Stegostoma tigrinum: one gene and its partners. The protein of the gene in region 1 purifies or fractionates together with the protein of each later gene. This does not show direct contact. Links are inferred from orthologs where the notes say so. Each region holds a gene or a part of one and is shown on either strand. Other genes may lie near its edges.

What was found.
Region 2: the proteins of smc3 (region 1) and sister chromatid cohesion protein PDS5 homolog B purify together in Homo sapiens (co-immunoprecipitation; 7 studies listed by BioGRID and IntAct, with this or other methods). This does not show direct contact. The link is inferred for Stegostoma tigrinum from reciprocal best matches to the Homo sapiens genes SMC3 and PDS5B.
Region 3: the proteins of smc3 (region 1) and nipped-B-like protein purify together in Homo sapiens (affinity purification with western blotting; 4 studies listed by BioGRID, with this or other methods). This does not show direct contact. The link is inferred for Stegostoma tigrinum from reciprocal best matches to the Homo sapiens genes SMC3 and NIPBL.

The regions. Positions count from the first base shown.
Region 1 is NC_081373.1:2,591,273-2,599,031, reverse strand, and holds the start of smc3 (structural maintenance of chromosomes protein 3), read left to right. Parts: upstream 1-4,747; 5' UTR 4,748-4,921; coding exon 4,922-4,936; intron 4,937-7,759. UniProt on the Homo sapiens protein: Central component of cohesin, a complex required for chromosome cohesion during the cell cycle. The cohesin complex may form a large proteinaceous ring within which sister chromatids can be trapped.
Region 2 is NC_081359.1:81,958,456-81,965,600, forward strand, and holds the start of sister chromatid cohesion protein PDS5 homolog B, read left to right. Parts: upstream 1-4,133; 5' UTR 4,134-4,251; intron 4,252-4,295; exon of another isoform or gene 4,296-4,607; intron 4,608-7,145. UniProt on the Homo sapiens protein: Regulator of sister chromatid cohesion in mitosis which may stabilize cohesin complex association with chromatin. May couple sister chromatid cohesion during mitosis to DNA replication.
Region 3 is NC_081356.1:138,995,853-139,003,045, forward strand, and holds the start of nipped-B-like protein, read right to left. Parts: upstream 3,013-7,193; 5' UTR 2,868-3,012; intron 2,777-2,867; exon of another isoform or gene 2,660-2,776; intron 1-2,659. UniProt on the Homo sapiens protein: Plays an important role in the loading of the cohesin complex on to DNA. Forms a heterodimeric complex (also known as cohesin loading complex) with MAU2/SCC4 which mediates the loading of the cohesin complex onto chromatin.

The sequences.
Region 1 (7,759 bases):
TTCTTTATTTCATGCATTCAGCCCCTGGAGGTGAGATTCACAGGCTGGGTCAGCATTTGTTGCCCATCACTGACCACCCTGGAGAAAGTCACGGTGAGCCACTTTCCCGAATCTCTAATATACTGAAGGTGCTCCAATAGTGCTGCTAGATGGGGTTCAAAGATTTTTATCCAACAATGAAGAAGAAAGGGTGATACATTTCCAAATTAGGATGACCTGTGACTTAGAGGAAAATTTGGTTATGGTTGTGCTCTCATGTGGTCCCTGACCTTGTCTTTTATATGTCTTAGTGTTTGGAAGGTTCTGCTGAAGATAATTTGGTGAGTTGTTAGAATTGACGAAGTTTTCCAAATTTTGTTGAAGGACTATAGCAACCACTGAGCAGATGTAATTATGAGAGATAATTTGGACACATATTAAGGATATTTTAAAATTCTGAGCAATGCCTCCTGCCATTAGCAAAACAATCATTCACTAGATCAAGGTATTTACTACTAAAGGCTTTTAACTTAGTTTCATCTGAACATCTTGTGACTGCTGTTTTCTTTTGGCATTTATGCACGCTTGTAATCCACTCCTGAGCTCTGTGAGACATTATCCACACATTGATGCGAATTTCCACAAACTGTCAATGTCATATATTTCCAAATTTCCAATGCAGGAATGCCTCACTTTTCTTGGTATATGGGGGTCACAGAAACACAATTAGTCATCACTGAGTCCCAACCTGAAACGTCAAATCTGATGCTCCCTGGCCTACTGTGCTCCTCCAGCTCCGCACTGTTATCTCTAGCCATCACAGGTACTTGTTCTGTCAAATTCCAATCAGCTTATTACAGGACTTAAACATGCCATTGAGCATGCACAGCACAGGAGAACGTTTGTCCCTGATATTTGTATCAGCTGTAGCCACCATCTAACTATCACAGGATCTCAGTTGCACAGAATTGGAAAAAATCTGCTAGAAAGAGAGACATGCTGTCAAAGTCTTTTCCCTTGCAATCATCAGGACAGAATCTCAAAAATATTAAATTTTGCAGGGAATTTCTCAAGACGGTATACATTGTTATTTCTCTTGAAATTTCATAGTATCCTGACTGTATGGAAACAGGCCATTCAACCTGTCAAGTCTACACTGACCCCCTGAAGCGTATCCCACACAGACCTGCCCCCACTCTTTCCCTGTAACTCTGCATTTCCCATGGCTAATTCACCTAGCCTATGCCCCCAGAACACTATGGACAATTTAGCACGGCCAATCCGTCTGTTTTGAATCTTTTTCTTTCGTTCTGTTCTCTGGATAGCCAAAGTAACAGTTTGAACTGGGAGGCAAGGTAGAGGGGCCCACAATCACACTTAAAAGCAGTCCTCAGCAACTGGGAGGACAGAACGCTCATGTCTGGGGCTGGGTGTAGAAGGGCAGTGGGAATGGTTGGCAAATGTGCAAGGGGAGAGATAGCGGCAATAAGTATGGAGACAGACAGTTGGGTCAGTGAGTGGGAGGGGAAGGCAGCTGCTCCATTTGGGAACTGGTGGCTGTAGGTTTCATTAAGAGCCATGAATGTATGAATGCCATGAATGTTCTCCTCTTGATGCATGAGATGTATAGAATGAAGTATCACTGTAGAGCCACCTCCTTTTCACTGTTAGCTTTCCTGGCTACTGAGAAACTGGCATGGTTGCAGCAAATATTAAAGCAAGTGGTATAGTGGTAATGTCACCAGGTTGGTAATCCAGAACCCCAGCCTAATGCTTGGGAGATGTAGGCTCAAATCCCACCATGGTGTAATTTGAAATTGATAAATCTAGAACACAAAGGTGGCACAGTGATCATGACAACTATCATTCAAAACCTTTAGAGAAGAGAATGAAAATCTGCCAGCTTTCCCTGGCATGACCTACATGTCACTATAAATCTACAATAACGTGGTTGACTTGTAACTGCCCTTTAAATACACACCTCACTCAGTTCAAGGACGATTAAAAACAAGCATCAAAAGCTAGCCTTTTGGGCAGTGCTTACATCCCAAGGAGGAATAAGAAAAGCATAGTAGGAGGACAACTTAAATACATTAAATATGTAGGAATAGACTCAATGCCTTGATATACAGGTGTATGTGAAACACCCATTCCCCATGTTAAAGTCTTCAAAGCTCAACCTCGATGTACAGAGGTAAAAAAGTACATAATCTCTGCTCCCTGAGGATGCCAGGCTGCTTAAGGGTTCTTGTACCTGGGATGTTCAAAGTTACAAATTCAATTGTGTTGCCATAAAGGTGGAGGGATAGATAGTTGTCAGTGGCTGTTAATAAAACATATCATAATCTAGTCTTTGTTACTAAGGAAAGGAGTGAAAGATCCAGCAGAAATGGAAGAATTCTCCAGATTACTTGGAGAGAGTGGCAGATGAATGTCAAGATTTTGAAATACAGTCATAGAGTTATATAGCATGGAATTAGATCCTATGGTCCAACTTGGTCACCAGATATCCTGAATTAATCTAGTCCCATTTACCAGCATCTGGCAATAAGCTGAAAGACTCAGACAGCCAGGACAGACATGATGAGCCAAATCATTGCCTTCTGCACCATAACACTTCGATATTTCGACATTTCTAGTGTTGTTAAAAACCACAGAGAAAGATTTTCAATGTTTGTAGTCAGATTTGTGGAAAGAAATTTGCAAGTTCTTGAATCAACATAACTACCAAGTTATTTCATAGAATCCCTACAGTGTGACAGCAGGCTAATAGGCTAATTGAGTCCACACCAACCCTCCAAACAGCATTCCACCCAGACCTCCCCCATCCTTGTAACCTTGTATTTCCTTGGGACAATCTTTGATTTGATTTATTATCATTTGTACCTAAGTCCAGTGAAAAGCTTTGTTTATGAGCAGCACAGGCAGGTCACAGTAAGCACAGGACATACAGATCACAGGGTGAAAATAAAACTTGGACAGAGGTAAGACAAAAAAATGTGAGGCTGAATGAACACAGCAGGCCAAGCAGCATCTCAGGAGCACAAAAGCTGACGTTTCGGGCCTAGACCCTTCATCAGAGCTTTTTTTTTGAAGGGTCTAGGCCCGAAACGTCAGCTTTTGTGCTCCTGAGATGCTGCTTGGCCTGCTGTGTTCATCCAGCCTCACATTTCGTTGTCTTGGATTCTCCAGCATCTGCAGTTCCCATTATCTCTTGGACTGAGGTATGCAGGTTACATCACACAGGACAGGCACTAGGCGAGATCAACATTAGCAAGATCAGCATTATTTAGTATTAGAGAGTGCATTTATCAGTCTAGTAACAGTAGGGAAGCTGTTCTTGAATCTGCTGGTGCATGTGTTCAAGTTTCCGTATCTTCTGCCTGATAGAACATAGACATAGAACAATACAGTGCAGAAAAGGCCCTTCGGCCCTCAATGTTGTGCCGACCTGTGAACTAATCTAAGCCCCTCCCCCTACACTATCCCATCATCATCCATATGCTTATCCAAGGACTGTTTAAATGCCCCTAATGTGGCTGAGTTAACTACATTGGCAGGGAGGGCATTCCGTGCCCTTACCACTCTCTGAGTAAAGAACCTGCCTCTGACATCTGTCTTAAATATATCATCCCTCAATTTGTAGCTATGCCCCCTTGTACAAGCTGAAGTCATCATCCTCGGAAAAAGATTCTCACTGTCCACCCTATCTAATCCTCAGAAGAGGTTGCAGGGGAGAATTACCAGGGTAATGAGCTGCGTAAATGGAGTCCATGAATGGAATGTTGTCTTCCATGAGGGTCTGTGCATTCAACCTTCATTAGTTTCTTATAGTCTTGAGTAGAAGAGTTACCATACTAGGTCATTATGCTTTCAATGGTACAACTGCGTGTTATGGAGGGTCCTTGTGGGCTTGCCAAATTTCCTGAGCCGCTTGAGGAAGAAGAGGCATTGTTGTGCCTTCTTGACCATCCCAAATACGTGGGAAGTCCAGGAAAGGTCATTGGTTATCGTCACTCCTAGCCAATCCACTTAGCCTGCACTTTAGGGGCAATTTAGCATGGCCAATCCACCTAGCCTGCATGTCTTTGGACTGAGGGAGGAAAGCGGAGCACCCGGAGAAACCCACAGAGACATGGTGAGAATGTGTAAACTCCACACAGACACCCAAGGGTGGAATTGAACCCAGGTTCCTATCTTAGGGGCCTCTTGTAGCTTCTCTACCTCTGAGCCAGGAGGACCAGGTTTAAGTGGCAGGTACATGTATCATAATGTGAACAGGTTGATGATGGCAAATATCTGTACCAGTTAGAACGGGTCTTGCAGTGCAATGGTAATGACACCACCTCTGACCCAGAAGTTTGAGGTACGTGTGTAATAACATATCTGTACAGGTTGGCTGAAACAGATACGAAAGCTCATTGTGAAATAAAAGCCCGCCGGCAAAAAAGGCTGGGCTGTGTTTAAAGAGCCCGATCTGCATGCCCCTTTAAGTGGAAGCCCCGCTCCAGGCGCCAGAACGTTCCATTGGCGCCAAATGTTTGACCGCTCCTGGACCATACCAACATCAAATAGGGGGTACAGACTGTGTGCAGTGCGTTGAAACATTCTTCTGTTCCAGAATTCGAGGGAAATTTCAAAAACAAACATTAATATAAATTATCACTAAATGATAATGGATGGGTCGATCAGTTGAATGCTTCTATCCCATGCATTTCCCTTGTTGCCTTTCTTACTACCCCATGGTCACTGCTTTGGTACAGGGTGAGGGGAGCCGCCATTTTGTCGGAGTTTTGCCGCTTTCGGGTTATTTTTGTTTGTTTTTTTTATTGTCGTTGCCCCCGGTTCTCGGCGGCGGAGGAGGTTATTTTTATTAATTTAATAACGACGGTCGGAAGGCGGTGGGGAGGATAGCCTCCAGTGCCGCTGAGGGACGCGAGATATGTACATTAAACAGGTAAAGGCCCCGCTCGGCGAGGCTGGGAGCGAACGGCCGGGCCTCGCCGGCCCCGTTGGGGGGCGAACGGCCGGGTCCCGCGGCGGGGGGGAGGAATGGCCGGGATGGTTATTCTTCCTATTGGAAGAAAATACCGCATCAAGTGTCCGATAAGGAGCGTTTATTTGCTCACATCCACTTGATCGAACATTTTAGGATCTATATGATCATAAACTGACAACAGTTTACTAAATATGTGGATATTTTTAACGCATGACAGTGCAACTAAGAAGTAAAATTAGAATTCACCTGTAAAATTGTGAAGTGACAGGCCCCAACTTCAAAAGGCCGATATTCATCCCCCCGGCTTCTGACCGTCTTCCTTGTCATTTGCGTAGGCAGAGGGCCCATAAGCTCTATTTTATTATTTTATCAGAAGGGGATAATGCAGCCAGGTAGTTCGTTGGATTGACACAGGGCCGTCCGGAATAAATGTCTTTTAAAGTACAGGCGGGATTTATGGAACTGGATGCTGTCTGCCCAAGAGGCTCCAAGTTGTTGATTGTGATTTTCTTTTATGGGGAAAGAGAATGGATACCTAACGTGCATGGAGATAGCACTTTTAACATACACAGGAACCCTTCTCAACGTATTCCTTCATCTGTTCAACGAATTATGCCTGGGGAGATAGTGGTGATATCACTGGACCAGCAGTTCAGAACCCCAGGCCAGTGTGTTCTGGGGACGTGGGTTTAAACCATAAGAAATAAGAACAACAGTTGGCCATTAAGCTCCTCAAGCCTGCCCTGCTATTCAATAGAATCATGACTGGTCAGACATTCATCACATCCACTTTTCTGCCTTTTCCCATAATCCTTGATTCTCCTACTAATGAAGAACCTATTTGTCTCTGCCTAAAATAAACACAGGTATAGCGGTTATCACTGCTGTCTCGTAACACTGGGGATCCAGGTTTAATCTCAGCTTTGGTTACTATCTATGGATTTTGTATGTTCTCCCTTTGTTTGGCCAGTCAGGTGCTCAAATTTCCTCCGACAGTTCATATTAGGTGGATTGGCTGTGCTTAATTGCTCTGGTGATCAGGACTGTGCCGGCTAGGTGGGTTAGCCATGGTAAATGTGAGGTTATGGGGATTGGGTGAGATGCTGTTTGTTGGGTCAATGCAGACTTGTTAGGGAGAGTGGCCTCATTTTGTACTGTAGGGATGCTGTGATTCTACTCTGACTCCGTTCCTAAAGCGGTCTGGCAAGGAGATGCAAAGACTCAACCCTCAGAGAGAGAGAGAAAATAAAAACTCTTCCTCATCTCAGTCTTAAACAGGCACCTGTTTATTCTGAAACTATGCCCTCTTCTCTTAGACTCACTCTGCCATGAGGGAAAGCATCTTTCAACATTTATCCTGTCAAGTCCCTTAACAATCCTATATGTTTCAATGCAGTCATCTGTCATTCCTCTAAACTCCAGTGGGTACAGTCCCAACTGGTTTAACTTTTGCACATATGACAATCCCTCCATACCAGGGGTCATCCTAGTATATGTTTTCACAACTGCTTTCAATGGAATTATCTCTCCATAACTGTGGAGACTCAGACTGCTTACAGTACTCCAGACACTATCTCCCTTGCACAGTTGCAGTAAGATTTCCTACTCTTGTACTCTACTGTAGTGTTAGTATCCAATCACGAGTTCAATAAAAAATGGCAATCATGTAACCAACAGTCAGTTGTCAGAAAAACCTATCTGCTTCACTAATACCCTTAGCAAAGGAATGTGCCATCCATTCCCGGTGTGCCCTACACTGGATCCACTGCAATGTGCAGAAGAATTTTTCAGCTGCAGGTTTGTGTTTTAAAAAACAGTCTGTCACACCTTTGCCACAAGTGTATCTCGTTAAATATTTGTGTGGTGGTGTAAGCGATAATTCTCAGACTGCAGTTAGTAGCACCCTTTCACTTCTGAGTGAGAACATTGTGATTCAAGTGCCACTCCAAAGACTTGAGTGCAAAAATCTTAAATGAAATACCGGTGTAATACTGCAGGAGTACTGCCTTGTCAGAGGACCCATACTTTGGAAGAGTGGTTCAACTAAGGCCCCATCTGTCTCCTCAGGTGGTAGTGAAATATCATGGCACAATTTGGCAGAGCACAGTGGCTATCCTGTGCTCTGATGAAGGGCCTAGGCCCGAAACGTCAGCTTTTGTGCTGTTGGCCTGCTGTGCTCATTCAGCTCCACACTTTGTTATCTTGGATTCTCTGGCATCTGCGGTTCCCATTATCTCTGATACAGTGGCTATCCAGATTGGCCATCCTGGCCAGTTATTACTTAAAAACAAAATGTGGGGTCTTTGAATGGTTACAGTATGGATGAAGTCAATTAGCCTTTTGTGGCTGGTCAAAAGCTTGACTTATCTTCTCCCTGCAGTAGAAGAAGATTTTGTGGTTGTTATGATATTGCTGTTTGTGGGAACTTGTGTGTAAATTGGCTGTTGAGTTTCTTATTGGCTATACTTCAAAATTAAATCTACCTCTTCCCACCCACCTTCCTGCAAAAATCCATCCCCTATTCCCTGGATGAGGCATTCCACTCCCATACATCTCAGATGACCTTGTTTTTCAAGGATCCCCCCTCCCCCCTCCCCCCGCCCCACCCCACCCCACTGTGGTTGAGAACGCCCTCGACCGTGTCTCCCGCATTTCCTGCAACTCATCCCTCACCCCCTCCCTGCAATAACAACCAAAACAAAATCCCCTTCGTCTTCACATACCACCCCATCAACCTCCGGATCCAACACATCAACCTCCGACAGGTCTGCCATCTGCAAT
Region 2 (7,145 bases), on another chromosome or scaffold:
TTGCTCTTTATATATGAATAAAAGGCTTTGGGATTTTCCTTAACCATGTTTGCCAGCAATATCTCATGTCCTCTCTTAGCCCTCTTCATCCCTCGTTTCAGATTCGCTCTACATTCCCAATATTCTTGCAAAGCTCCGTCTGTCTTCAGTCGCCTAGACCTCATGTATGCTTCCTTTTTTTTCTTGTCTAGTCTCACAATTTCACCTGTCATCCATGTTTCCCTAATCTTGCCTTTTCTATTCCTCATTTTCACAGGAACATGTCTCTCCTGCACGCTAATCAACCTCTCTTTAAAAGCCTCCCACATATCAAATGTGGATTTACCTTCAAACAGCTTCTCCCAATCTACATTCCTCAGATCCTGCCGAATCTTGGTATAGTCGGCCTTCCCCCAGTTTAGTACTCTTCCTTTAGGACCACTCCTATCCTTGTCCGTAAGTATTGTAAAACCTACAGAATTGTGGTCGCTATTTCCAAAGTAGTCCCCTACTGTAATATCAACGACCTGGCCGGTTTCATTCCCCAGCACCAGGTCCAGTATGGCCCCTTCCTGAGTTGGACTCCATACATACTGCTCTAGAAAACCATCCTGGACAGACCTTACAAATTCTGCTCCGTCTTGACCCCGAACGCTGAGTGAATCCCAGTCAATGTTGGGAAAGTTAAAATCTCCCATCACCACCACCCTGTTTCTCCTACACCTTTCCATTATCTGTTTACATATTTGTACCTCTATCTCACGCTCGCTGTTGGGAGGCCTGTAGTGCAGCCCCAACATTGTTACTGCATTCTTCCTATTTTTGAGTTCTACCCATATTGCCTCACTACTTGAGTCCTCCATGGGGCCCTCCTTCAGTGCAGCTGTGATATCGTCTTTGATCATTACTGCAACTTCTCCACCCCTTTTACCTCCCTCTCTATCATCAATATCCTGGGACAACTAGTTGCCCGTCATGCCCTTCCTTCAACCAAGTCTCAGTAATAGCAATAACATCATACCTCCAGGTACCGATCCAAGCCCTAAGCTCATCTGCCTTATCTACTACACTTCTCGCATTAAAACAAACGCACCTCAGTTCACCTGTCCCTTTGTGTTCATCATCTGCTCTCCGACTACTATTCCCTTTAGTCACACTGACTCCATTATCTAGTTCCCTACAGGCTTTCGTTTCTACCTCTTTTCTGTCCAATATTTGGTTCCCATCCCCCTGCCACATTAGTTTAAACCCTCCCCCACAGAATTAGCAAAAGCACCCCCAAGGACATTGGTTCCAGTCTGGTTCAGGTGTAGACCGTCCAATTTGTAATAGTCCCGCCTTCCCCAGAACCAGTTCCAATGTCCCAAAAATCTGAACCCCTCCCTGCGACACCATCTCTCAAGCCACGCATTCATCCTAGCTATTCTTTCATTTCTGCTAGGATTTTGGTTAGGCTTTTTGGTTGGTACTCACAAAAGATCTTGTTTCTTCCTCAGAAGTTGGCACTTCAGAGGGAGAACTCTGAACTGGTTCACACTCAGACATGAACTTGTGACCAAATGGATCATGTTCATAATTTGGTTAATCAATCATTAAGATTTCTTGATCTACATGAAAAAATCCAATCTTTCCGTTATATCAAATAAGTATCCTTTAGTTCAGTAAACTTGTCTTACATTTCTCACATCTGAGACTTTGAGAGAGGTTCAGAATGTAAACATAGTCATTTTTCCTGAAACTGTTCTCTCTTTTGTTTACATTGTGCTGACATCTTTTGACTGAACTGTTTGTGTTCAAGGGTACCAGTCAAATTTGGTAGAACCAAACTCAAAAGTATCCTTAACTTTCTCCTTATCAAACCCTGTGGTAGGGTGTGAAGTTGTTTGACATTTCAGGAGAAAATTAGTCAACTCTGTTTCATTTTGAAATTTAATCACCTATTCTCTGCTTGTTTTTTGAGTGTTATCACAAATCTTTCGGCTGCTCCATTTGATACTGAAAAGTAAGGAGAAGTAAGGATTTATTTAATGCTATTTTGCTTCAGGATTGTTTTTTACAGAATAGAACACAACAGAGGACTATTATCTGAAAAGCTCCTCAGAAAATCCGTGACAAATAAAGATGGGCCATAAGTCAACGATTGTACGTTTTTAGCAAAAATGTTTTCACCCAGTTATTTATTTTGATCCATTTTGAGTAGCTATTGCTGAGCAGTAATACATTTTAATGAAAGTATGCATTGACTCTTTGAAACGGACAAGTTGACTGTGACCACAATTGCAAATAAATATTTGAAGGTTTATTTTGCCTTTGATTCCAAATCACAGTCAAGCTCAAGTCAATAAACAAATTCTTTTGTTAGAGATTTTGTACTGAATTTTGCTGTGTGTTCCATGTTGAGCTCTGCCAGAAATGTATGCCTCAAATACAAACGTGGCACTACTATGTGAACCCACTTACTATCATAGTCATTGAGGTCTACACCACCGAATTGTGTCCATGTCAATTAGAAACAACCACCAAAATATTTAATCCCATTTTCCAGTGCTTTCAGATTTCTCCAGCATCTGCAGTTCCTATTATCTCTGATATCAAAAAATGAGGTGCCAATGTGGTGAAGCCACTAATCAGGACCATTTGCATGCCAAACAGTACAACAAGATGGCACATCAGATGGAGGGTCTAGGCCCGAAACATCAGCTTTCCTGCTCCTAAGATGCTGCTTGGCCTGCTGTGTTCATCCAGCTCTACACCTTGTTATCTCACTTTTTGGTATGCCTGGTGCTACTCCTGGCATGCTCTCCTGTACTCTCCATTGAATCAGGGATGATCCACTGGTTTTTTATGCTGGTCCATGAGGTTGCGGATTGTCCTGGAGTATAATTCTTCTGCAGTTGATGGCCTGCAGCGTCTGGTGGATGCTCAGTCTTGAGTTGTAAGATTCATTCAAAGTCAAAGTAACTGTTTTACTTTCTTAAAAGTAACTATATAGTAATTTGTTAAGTGTAGTCCAGTTCTGCAGAAGAGGGCTCAAGACTGGAAATGTTAATAAAGATAACAAGGTGTAGAGCTGGATGAACACAGCAGGCCAAACAGCATCAGAGGAGTGGGAAAGCTGACATATCGGGTCTGGAGCCTGCTTCAGAAAATATATTGTTTGTTTCAGATTCCCAACATCCACAATATTTTGCATTTATATAGTAATTTGTTCTTATTATTAAGTAGTCAACCCTTACTCTGTATGTATTACCAATGGAAAAAATTTGTGCAAAGAGCAAATTGGTGTGACATACAGGGGGTTTTAAGAGTTTTAAAAATATAATTACAGGGTAATCTGAACATATGCTTTGCTTTACGTTAACATTCTCTCAAAAATACCTCGCATTCTGTGACATAAGCAATAAAAACTTTTAAGATTTTACTAATGTTTAAATTGAAGCCTACTTGACAACAAATAACCCATATGTTTTTGTTCCTGTCGGCGTGCACTTTCTGCCGTTATATCCAACAATGTTTCCGAGTTGTGAAAATGTTGGAATCAGCTTCAAAATATGAATCAAGTCATCAAAACTTTAAATCAAAATCTTGCGATTCTGTATCTCACGGAACCCTGTACTTGGATTTTTTTTTAATTTAAAACTTGTAATGCCTTATTTTCGACGTTTGGAGATGCTCTTGCTTCAATTTTCCACTAGACCGTATCCCAGTCCTGAAGTTCCTTCGGCTAAACTTTTATTAACGCTGCACCACTTCCAAACCGGGAATAAGGCGGGCCGCGGTTCTTCACCCCCACCCCCTCTCAATCAATTCGTATTCGGGGGCTGTATATTGATTAATTCACCCCTAAGAGGTGCTGCAATTCTTTAACTACGATGTATGTCTTTTGTCGCATTTACCGTGCACGGAGAGACATAGAGATATGTAGATAGATAGAGAGAGCAGGAGCACGTCTGTTGTCGACCTTGTTCCCCTTTCTCTCTTCCTTTCGCTTTTCGAGCCCACTCCCCGAGGAAAATCACTGCGTCTGGAGGGTGCCCTACTCCACTTCTCTGTCCCAGCGTGCTCTAGTGGGAATTGGATTTGGGGTTTGTGGGTTTGAGTTGACTAGTGTTGACAGTGTCAGTGACTCCGTGCCTCCCTCCCCCGCTCTCCGTTCATTGGTGCAGCCGGAGACAAATTGGCGCCATTTTGAAGCGTTCTAGGGGCAGGCGGCAGAGGCAGCGGCGGTTGAAGAATTAGACTGGACCGGACTAGTCTGGGGTTCTCACACGGGTGAGGAGACGAACCGTCACTAATTTTGCGGATCTTCTTTGTCGTTGTATTGTATATGTATACACGTTGTTGCTGCTACTGCTGGTGGTTTTTATTTCTGCGTTTCGTTGTATTGGCGACCCCGGATTTATGGGTATTTACCGTCTGGTGTGGCGGCTCGGCTTTCCATACATGCCCGTTTCTGCCTGGGCTTCTTTCTGTCTCGCTCTGCCTTTTATTTTCCGCCCCCTTCACTCAGTCGGCGATGCTTTTCCCCGCTGTGGTTTTGTTTTCAGCGATCGGCAGAGTGGGTAATCCTGGCTGCTGGACCTTGGCGGGCGGGGTGAAAGCCTTTTTGGTTTCTGCTGTAACTCCTGGTGAGAAATCTTGATTCTTCGCCTCTCTGTGTGGGGACCGTAAAGACGGAAAATAATGGCGTTTGAAGTGTAACTGCTGGATGCTTAATTTCTCGTAAGGGTTGAGTTTGCAAGATTTCGGGGCCTGCTAGTACTCATGTTTTTGCTTTGGCCTAGAACTTGACGTATTCGAGCTCGTCCACATATGTATTTTTCCTGTCTTCTCTTCTTCACCCCCGCCCCCCAACAATTGCTTTCAGCAGCCTGTATATGGTGGCTGTCAACGTTCAGGGCAAATTTTTGATGCAATCGCCGTGTTCTTAGAATTTGTCATTTTCGTCCCACTGATAGCATTCTTGATCCTCAACGGGTTAACAGGTTTTGCTGCGCAAGTATTATTTCCCCGTTGTTATTCAAAACGTCAGTCATTTGGGTGCTTTCTTTTAAAAAGAAGTTTTATCATGGTTTGACAACATTTTAAAAAGTACCCTTCTGGGCAAGATCTTTTGTGCCCAATTTTGCTGTCTTTTTGAGAGTGAGACAAATTAGGGTGGGGGAAATACTGTACCAAAAAAACTTGCTAGTTTTTTTCTGTACTTCAAAAGTACATTAGCTGTATTTAAATTCTTTCCTTAATCTGATAGTTTAAATAATTTGCTCTGAATTTGAGGAAAGTGCTTTTATTTTTAAAGATCAGTACAAAACTATTGTGTAAACAAATCAATCATAGTAGTTAACTTAAGATTTTCCTGTCCTTTGTGATGATGGTGTTGCAGGTTATGACCCCATACATTCACAGTAGAAAGATACCTGTCAAGAGTGTGTTGTAGGAACATATGTTAAAAGAGAAAGGCTAAGCTGTTTTGTCCTTTTTGAACTTGTTCACCTGCACCAATATCCATCCTGCATTATAATCACATTCCTTCATTTTGTCAGTTTCCAAAAATCACGTGCCTCTGGAGGATTCTAAATGTTCACAACCTGTTGGAGTTGAGGCAATCTTGTCTCCAGTGTAAGTGGTGAACTGTTTCTAAGGCTGACCCCTATTTCTACAATACCCAACCAGGAAAGCATTTTCCAGAATTGACTTTGCGAAGTCACTTAATGTTTATGCTTTTGAGATGACTTCTAATGTTGAAAGCCTGGTGATCATAGGCCTAATCTTTTCGGTCTGACATCTGAAGATAATTCTCCTCCATCCCATTGTAGAAACTAATTTTGTGAATTTTTACATTTCTTCTGAAGCATTGTTCCTTGTTCCTTGTGCCTTGAATAAGGAGACTAAAATTGTATATAGTACTCCAGATGTTATATTATGAATGTAATTGAAATGAGTTTTTAGAAGGTAGAAAAAGGCCCCTTGTGTCTGCACAGATCATTAAAACATAGATCTGTTCTAATCCTATTTTCCATCAGCACTTGGCTGATAAAGCCTTGTATGCTTTATTTCAAATGCTCATCTAAATAGTTCTTAAATGCTTTTAGTTCCTGTCTCCACTCAGTTTTTTTAAAATGTAGTGAGTTCCAGATATCCGCCATCCGTCTGGTCAACAAACCTTTAGCCTCCCTTTTTGACCCACCATGCTGCTTACTTGAAACATATGCCTCTGTAGACCAAGAAGAAAAGTTTCTCCCTATCTGTGCCTGTCCGAAGTTAGTTGGTGCACCTCAAACAGGCTACTGGCGTTCTGTAACCACCAAACAAAACCTCACCCAACCTTCTCTGCTGGAAGGGAATAAAACCCCAGTTTATCTAATCTCTGTTCCTAGCTGAATCACTCCAGCCTGGGCAACATCCTGGTGAATCCCCTCTGCATCCTTTCCAGTGCAGTCACATCCTTCCTTTATTGTGGTAATCAGAAATGCACACTGTACTCTGGCTGTGGTGTAATCAACATTAATTACAGCTCCATTATAATCTGTTTGCTGTTATAGTCAGTATATTGACTAAGAAAGGCAAGTATTCCATTTGCTGCCTTAACCACCATCTCTGCCTGTCCTGCTGCCTTCAAGAATCTCTGGACATGCGTGCAAAGATCCCTCTGTACTACTTGGGGTCCTACTATTCAAACTATTCCCTTGCCTTGTTAATTCTCTTAAAATGCACCAGCTCTTAATTTTAGTGTGGTAATTGTAGCGATATGTATTTTCCCTTGTGGCTCCATTATTTCGTAATAGGGACTAACATTAGCTTACTTAACTACTTGCTGGTTATGCGTATTAATTTTTGTGATTCATGCACACAATTACCCAGGTTCCCCTGAATACAAATATTTAGCAGGTTTTTTTTCTATGTTCAAAAAATTCTACTCTTGGCTGCCAGTTTGACTAACTTCATTGCATTGTATTCCATCTGCTGTGATCTTGCCTGCTCTCATCTTTAATTGATCCACATACCCCTTGCAACATTCGAGTTTCTCTCTCTTTAGAAAATTAGGTGAGAAAATATCATGAAGAAATGTGTATATATTACTTTTGATCTTCTCAAATTTACTGATTATTGATTGAAAATAGCTGAAGCCCAAATGTTGGTCCCATTGTTTCCTCAGTTGCAGAGTG
Region 3 (7,193 bases), on another chromosome or scaffold:
AGACAATAGCTTAAGTAGACACTTAATTCCAGATAACAAGGTAGGGAGCTGGATGAACACAGCAGGCCAAACAGCATCTTAGGAGCAAGAAAGCTGACGTTTCGGGCCTAGACCCTTCATCAGAATTCAAATTCCACCATTTGCCAAGGCTAGGCTTCGAAACCTGGATTAATCATCTAAGAACAATACCGCTAAACTACTGACTCCCCTTTGACATAATTGGTATTATTGTATTACTACTGCATTATATTACTGTCTTGTAACACTGCTTACCTGAGGATTTTAGTAACAGCTGAGTGGCATCATTGCTGCTTGATTAATCCAGAGACCCAAGCAGCATTCTGGGAACTCTGCTTTGAATCTCACTACAGCAGGTGGAGGAATTTAATTCAATACAAAATCATAATAAAAATTATTGTCGGCTGTTGGAAAAGTCCACTTAATTGTGGCACGGTGGCTCAGTGGTTAGCACTACTGTCTCACAGTGCCAGGGACCCAGGTTCGATTCAAGCCTCAGATAACCGTGTGGAGTTTGCACATTTTCCCTGCGTCTATGCGGATTTCCTGCCACAGTCCAAAGATGTGCAGGTTAGGTGGAACGGTCATGCTAAATTACCCAGTGTCCAGGAATGTGAAGGTTAGGTGGGTTGCCATGGGAAACGCAGTGTTACAGGGACAGTGGATCTGGCTGGGATGCTCTTTAGAGGGTCAGTATTGACTTGATTAGCCAATTGGCCTGCTTTCACACAGTAGAAAGTCTATGATCCATTAACACCCTTTTGCAAAGGAATCCGTCATCCTTACTTGGTCTGACCTACATGTGACTCCAGAGTCAAAGCAATGTAGTTGACTCAACTGGAAAAGGCAATAAATACTGGCGTAGCCAGCAACACCCACATCTCCTGAATGAATTTTTAAAAATTTCATTGAATGGTTTATTCATGCATGCTGTAATGTAACAAAAACATTTCCAATAACAGCTACCATTTCACGTATTATTGACTTGTCTCAACATAGAGTCTACAGAGAAACAAAGTAGATGGTGATACTTTTCATTTCAGTCCTATTTTCTGAATGTCACATCTTTTGTTTACAAATTGAATCATATGCATAAGCACTTATGTTTTAAGCATTTCCTTCAAATTCACCACTTCATTTTAATTATAAATAGAAAATAAACAGCAACTAGTTTCGTGTATCAAAGGTAACAACTCTCTTTCTAAATATAGTTTTAATTCCGGGATGGGGGTCATACCAGCTTCGGAGAAAGAGCCAACACAAGATTCTGATAAAAATTACCGACGCTCCTACACATTTGAAGTTGCCACCACCATTTCGAATAGATACAATACAACAAGCTGAAGCTTCAGTGTTTGCAAACAGAGGCCCGGCATCTATTTACACTGCAGCATACTGTCAGTCAAATATCGATACAATTGTTTCGCCCACACAAGTAAACCAATGACGTACCAACGACGGCCACTGAACACGAACTTGCTACACACCCAAAAGATGTGAATACTTCCAACAATAAAATTTCAAGACAGTACATTTATGCAAACGTTTTTCGAAACATCGTAACTGATTTCATGAAGTTAGTTAGACTCATTACATCAACCAGCACGATTTCAAAGATCGAATGCGAGTCATACCAGAAACAAAAATGCAAGATAATGAAACACACGATATCCTTTTTACTTCAATTATCAACCAAGTTAACAGCTGCAAGGGTGAATACAACATGTATCAAAGTTTATAACAAGAACAAATGATATATCTTTCTTCCTATTCCCACCAATGAGAAAGAACCATGTCCGATCTTCACTAGAAAGTTACATCGTATGATCTGACCCACATCTCCAGCGGTATTCCATGTTGACAGCCGATTATAAACAGCTTTTGTTTACCAGCAAAAAAAAAGGAAAATCAGCTATTGTATTTTTTATCTCTGAACTCATAAAACAGGTTTAAGTGCCGAAATCTACCATAACTACAATGTGGAAACTGCACTCGATACTTTGGCATTCAGGCGACGCTCAGGTAGGTTCCACAACCAGGCCTCAGTAAATCACACTGCCCAAGCGCCTCTCTTAAAAACGCTGAGGGCGGTTGTCCTCTGGAACGAGACCCATATCGGCGGCTAGGCCCCAAGCCGCTTGTCGCCTCACCCCCACACCCTTCTCCGGGCTGCTAGCAAGACCTCCGCATCGCCCAACCCCCCCCCCTCCCTGCCCCCTTTGTTAACTCAGGCGAGTGTCCCGGCTTCACTCGACCACCTCTAGTCGAGGCGGCCTCTAATCACCTCTCACAGGCCCACCCCTTCACCTTCTCATATCTGATCTCCAGTAGCCGAAATCGCCCGGACCCAGGGCCAGGGCCGCAGTTCTTCCTTGGGCCTGAGGCCTAGGGCCCCGACAAAACCCCATATTCTTCCCTCCCTCCCCCACCCGGGTTCGGGCCTCACTCGGCCTGGGGCGGCGGGACACACAGCAACATTCCACCTAAAGTCAACCCCGCCAACAGTAAAGTCAGAAAGACCCGAGAGCTGCTAAAGTACTCGAGAAGGCCCTAATCCGCGGCCTCGCCTGTTCGCCCTGCCCACTGCCGGGGAATCACTAGACGGATTTTAAATTTTACTAGTGTCCTCCTTGGATTTTACCTCAGCGAAGAAGCCGCTGTCGATGTTGATGTCGATGCGAGTCGCTGGCTCCGGGAATGTGAAGGGGGCGGCGGGCAGAACAACAAACACCGAGCGGACATGAAGGGACGTGAAGTGGCGGCGCGCTCCCTCCCTCCCTCCCCCGCCCGTCCGCCTGCCCACCCGCCTCAGCCTGTCGACCGTGTGAGCCCTTGGCTTTCCTGGATACCGGCTTCGGCGTCTGCCTGCGATGCGGCCTGGCTCTCTGAGCCTGGGTAAAGGCACCGAGCGGCGGCGGAAACTCCAGCTCAGCCTCGAAGGCGATTCCTCTCTCGCAGACAAAATGCCGACCGGAAGTGAACGAAACCAGCGCGAGCGGAGGGAGGAAGAAGGCGCCAAACGCGATCATTTCCGGCTGCAGCGGCTCCGCGCGCCCACGGTACAGTGTGCGCGCCCACCGGCCGCGTGCGCGCCCCCCCGGGCAGCACGTCGCGCAGGCGCAGCTGTGTGGCCGGTAGTTTGCACGTGCTTTTGGCGCGTTTCCTGTCGGTGAGAGGATTTACTGAGACAGTGGGAAGTGCAGATGCTGGAGAATCTGAGATAACACGGTGTAGAGCTGGATAAACACAGCAGGCCAAGCAGCATCAGTGGAGCAGGAAGCCTGACGAATTTCTGAAGAAGGGTCTAGACCCGAAACATCAGCTTTCCTGCTCCTCTGATGCTGCTTGGCCTGCTGTGTTCATCCAGCTCTACACCTTGTTATCTCAGATTGTCCAGCATCTGCAGTTCCTACTGTCTCTGAAACATGGTGGGATGCTTGGATCTACAAAAATCCTTTGATAAGGCCCCACATCAAAAGTTTTTTTTTAGAACGCCCCTTGGCAAGAGCACGCACGGAGAAGAAGGTATACAAGATAATGAGAGGCATAGATAGAGTTGATAGCCAGAGACTATTTCCCAGGGCAGAAATGGCTAGCACAAGGGGTCATAGTTTTAAGCTGGTTGATGGAAAGTATAGAGGGGATGTCAGAGGCAGGTTCTTTACGCAGACAGTTGTGAGAGCATGGAATGCGTTGCCAGCAGCAGTTGTGGAAGCAAGGTCATTGGGGTCATTTAAGAGACTGCTGGACATGTATATGGTCACAGAAATTTGAGGGTGCATACATGAGGATCAATGGTCGGCACAACATTGTGGGCTGAAAGGCCTGTTCTGTGCTGTACTGTTCTATGTTCTATGTTCTAAAGGAATGCCAGCGATCTCAAACCCAAGGATCAATTCCAACTGTCAAATGTGTGGTCAGAAGTGTGGCTCTAGCATCCGGCTCATCAGTCACACAAGGACCCACAGACCCCATGATCAGTCACACGGAATTGCACAGGTAGACAATCATATACGTTACGAATGATTGTCAACAACATTGAACGCTATTACAGAAAATAAGAGCTTTTAGGCAATTAACATGGATAGAGGATCCGTCATCTGATAGGAAATGGACGGTACGATAACTGAGTCATTTCTGGCTGGCAAGAGAAAATGGAAGACTTGACAGCTACCAAGAGCGCAAAACAGCAGAGGTTCTACAGGAATACCAAATGTGCAATGGAGAATTTAAAAAGGACAGTGGAAGAGGAAAATGAGACCATGAAAGGTTAATAGTAGTAAACCAGAGAAAAATCCTAAGTTATTTTACAAATATATTGAGGGTAAAAGGATAAGGAAAGAATGGGACCCATTAAGGATCATAGTGGTAATTTGACATAGGTGGGGTTCTGAATGCATATTTTATTCCAATGTTCAATAGCGAGAGGGGCAACATGAGTGTAGAAATGAGGGAGAAGGACTGATATAATTAAAGAAATTTGCATAGCCAGAGAGGAGGTTCCAAATGGTCAGATAGTCTTAAAAGTAGATTAATGGATGTGAGATTGCTCGCTGAGCTGGAAGGTTCATTTTCAGACATTTCGCCACCATTCTAGGTAACATCATCAGTGAGCCTCCGACGAAACCTCCCCTTAACACCCCGCTAGCCAAAAGAATAGCTGAGCAAAACGGCCGCAGAATGTTTCGAGAAATGATCAATGATGCTCACAACAGACTCCGTAAATACAACCAGGAAATTTCGCGCCAAAAAAAAACTTTACTCACTAATGCGACAGACCATGAATGGACTGACAGGCTTTGTCAGAGGCTCACTGATGATGTTACCTAGAATGGTGACGAGACGTCTGAAAATGAACCTTCCAGCTCTGCAAGATCTCACATCCAGAACCTCTACCTGAGCTACAAATCTTCTCAAAACTCGCAAGTAGATTAATGTCCAGGGCCAGATGAAATGTATCCCAGCTTTTGAGTGAGGCAAGGGAGAAAATAGTAGGGATGCTGGCATTATTTTTTAATTCCTCTGTGGCCACAGGAGAGGTGTGAAAAGACTGGGGGACCACCAGTGTGTTACTGTTATTGAAAAAGGAAGCTAGAAATAAACCAGGAAACTGCAGGCCAGTCAGTCTAACCTCAGTGGTGGGGAAACTGTTGGAAGCAATTCTGATGGGCAGAATTAATAGACAATAGGTGCTGGAGTAGGCCATTCGGCCCTTCGAGCCAGCACCACAATCTGCAGTAGGAGAGAAGAGGATTAACAAGAACAGTCAGCATGGGTTGTTAAGGGGAGGTCATGTCTGACCAACTTGATTGAATTTTTCAAAGAGGCGACTAGGTATGTAAATAAGGGCAATGCTTTTGATATAGTTTTAGAGATAAGGTCTTTTGATAAGTCCCAATTGGGAAGAAATGGAGGTGCTGGTGTTGGACCAGGGTGGACACTTGACCTGACGTCAGGGAAGTTGGGGTGTGGAGGCAGCACTTCATGAAGTGGAGGAGCAGTGCTCTGAAAGCTTGTGATTTCAAATAAACCTGTTGGACTATAATCTGGTGCCTTGTGTCTTCTGACATTGCCCCACATGGGAGACGGATAGTAAAAGTAAAAACCCAGGGGATCCAAGAAAATTTGGCAAATTCGATCCAGAATTATCCCAGTGGCAGAAAGAAGTTTTGTCAAGGGGTGTTTTATGGTTAGAAGCCTGTATCCTGTAGGGTTCCACAGGAATCAGTGTTGGGGCCTTTGCTGTTCGTGGTACAGATAAATGATTTGGACTTGAATGTATGAAGGCTGTTCATTAAGTTTGCAGATGATATGAAAATTGTTGGGGTGATAAATAGCGGTGAGGAAAGCTTTAGATTGTGTAGGAGGATGTGGACGGGTTAGTTTGATGAGCTGGTCAGTAGCAAATGGGATTCAATCAGGATAAATGAAAGGTTATGACCTTGGGCAGGCAAGCAAGATTGTACCTCTGAGCATAATTCCAGTGAGCTAAAGTGTTAATGGATATTCATGACCTGCTAAAGAATTCAGAACAGGTTCCGAACCATCAAGATTGGGAAAGTTGACTAGCCTGGAAGGGTCTGCAAACTTAGTAACGGCACAGAATGCTTTAGCTGTAGCCTAATCAACTTTTTATACAGTTCCAGCATAACCTTTAGGAACATAGGGGCAGCACAGTGGCTCAGTGGTTAGCACGGCTGCCTTACAGTACCAGGGACCCGGGTTCGATTCCACCCTTGGGCAACTGTCTGTGTGGAGTTTGTACATTCTCCTTGTGTCTGTGTGGCTTTCCTCCGGGTGCTCCAGTTTCCTCCCACAGTCCATAGATATGCAGGTTAAGTGGATTGGCCATGCTAAATTGCCCGTAGTGTTCAGGGATGTGCAGATTAGGTGGGATATAGGGGGATGGGTCTGGGTGGGTTTCTCTGAAGGTCAGTGTGGGGTTGTTGGGCCACAGGGCCTGTTTCCACACTGTAGAGATTCTATGATTCTAAAAACAAGAGTTGCTGGAAAAGTTCAGCAAGTCTGGCAACACCTGTAAAGGAAAAAAATCAGGAAAGGTCCAGTGACCCTGAGGAAGGGCCTCAGACCCAAAATGTTAACTCTAATTTTTTTTCTTCACAGATGCTGAGCTTTTCCAACAATCCTGTTTTTGTTCCTCATTTACAGCATCTGCAGTTTTCTCATTTTCTTTTTAGCATTTAAGTCACTGCCACATCTTTTCTAGGCATGCCCATCTTGAAGAAGTTCTGCTCCATTCTCCAGGATTTCTGTTCCCATCTTTCTTCTTGCCCACCAACATTAATTTCACTGTCACTCTGGTGTTTGACCGAGTATTTGCTAAAACTCATTTCTACAGCCACATCACATTCCTCAGTGACTGCCTCCAGCTCAGACTCGCCCCACGTGGATTCCAACTGAAGTTTCATCCCTCATGTTTTGAATCCTCTCAGAATCACAGATATCTCTGTGATGTTCAACATTCCACAGATAGCTGCTCTCACCACATCCTGAGATCCATACTCAGTGCCATGCAGCATCACATGCACACTCTTGACCATTCTCTCCAACAGCATCGCAACATACTGGCTCAAGGTTGCACCACTCTGCAGTTCTAACTCACTTATGCATACCACAAATAGCCACACTGATCCCTGTAGTACCCCACGAGACAA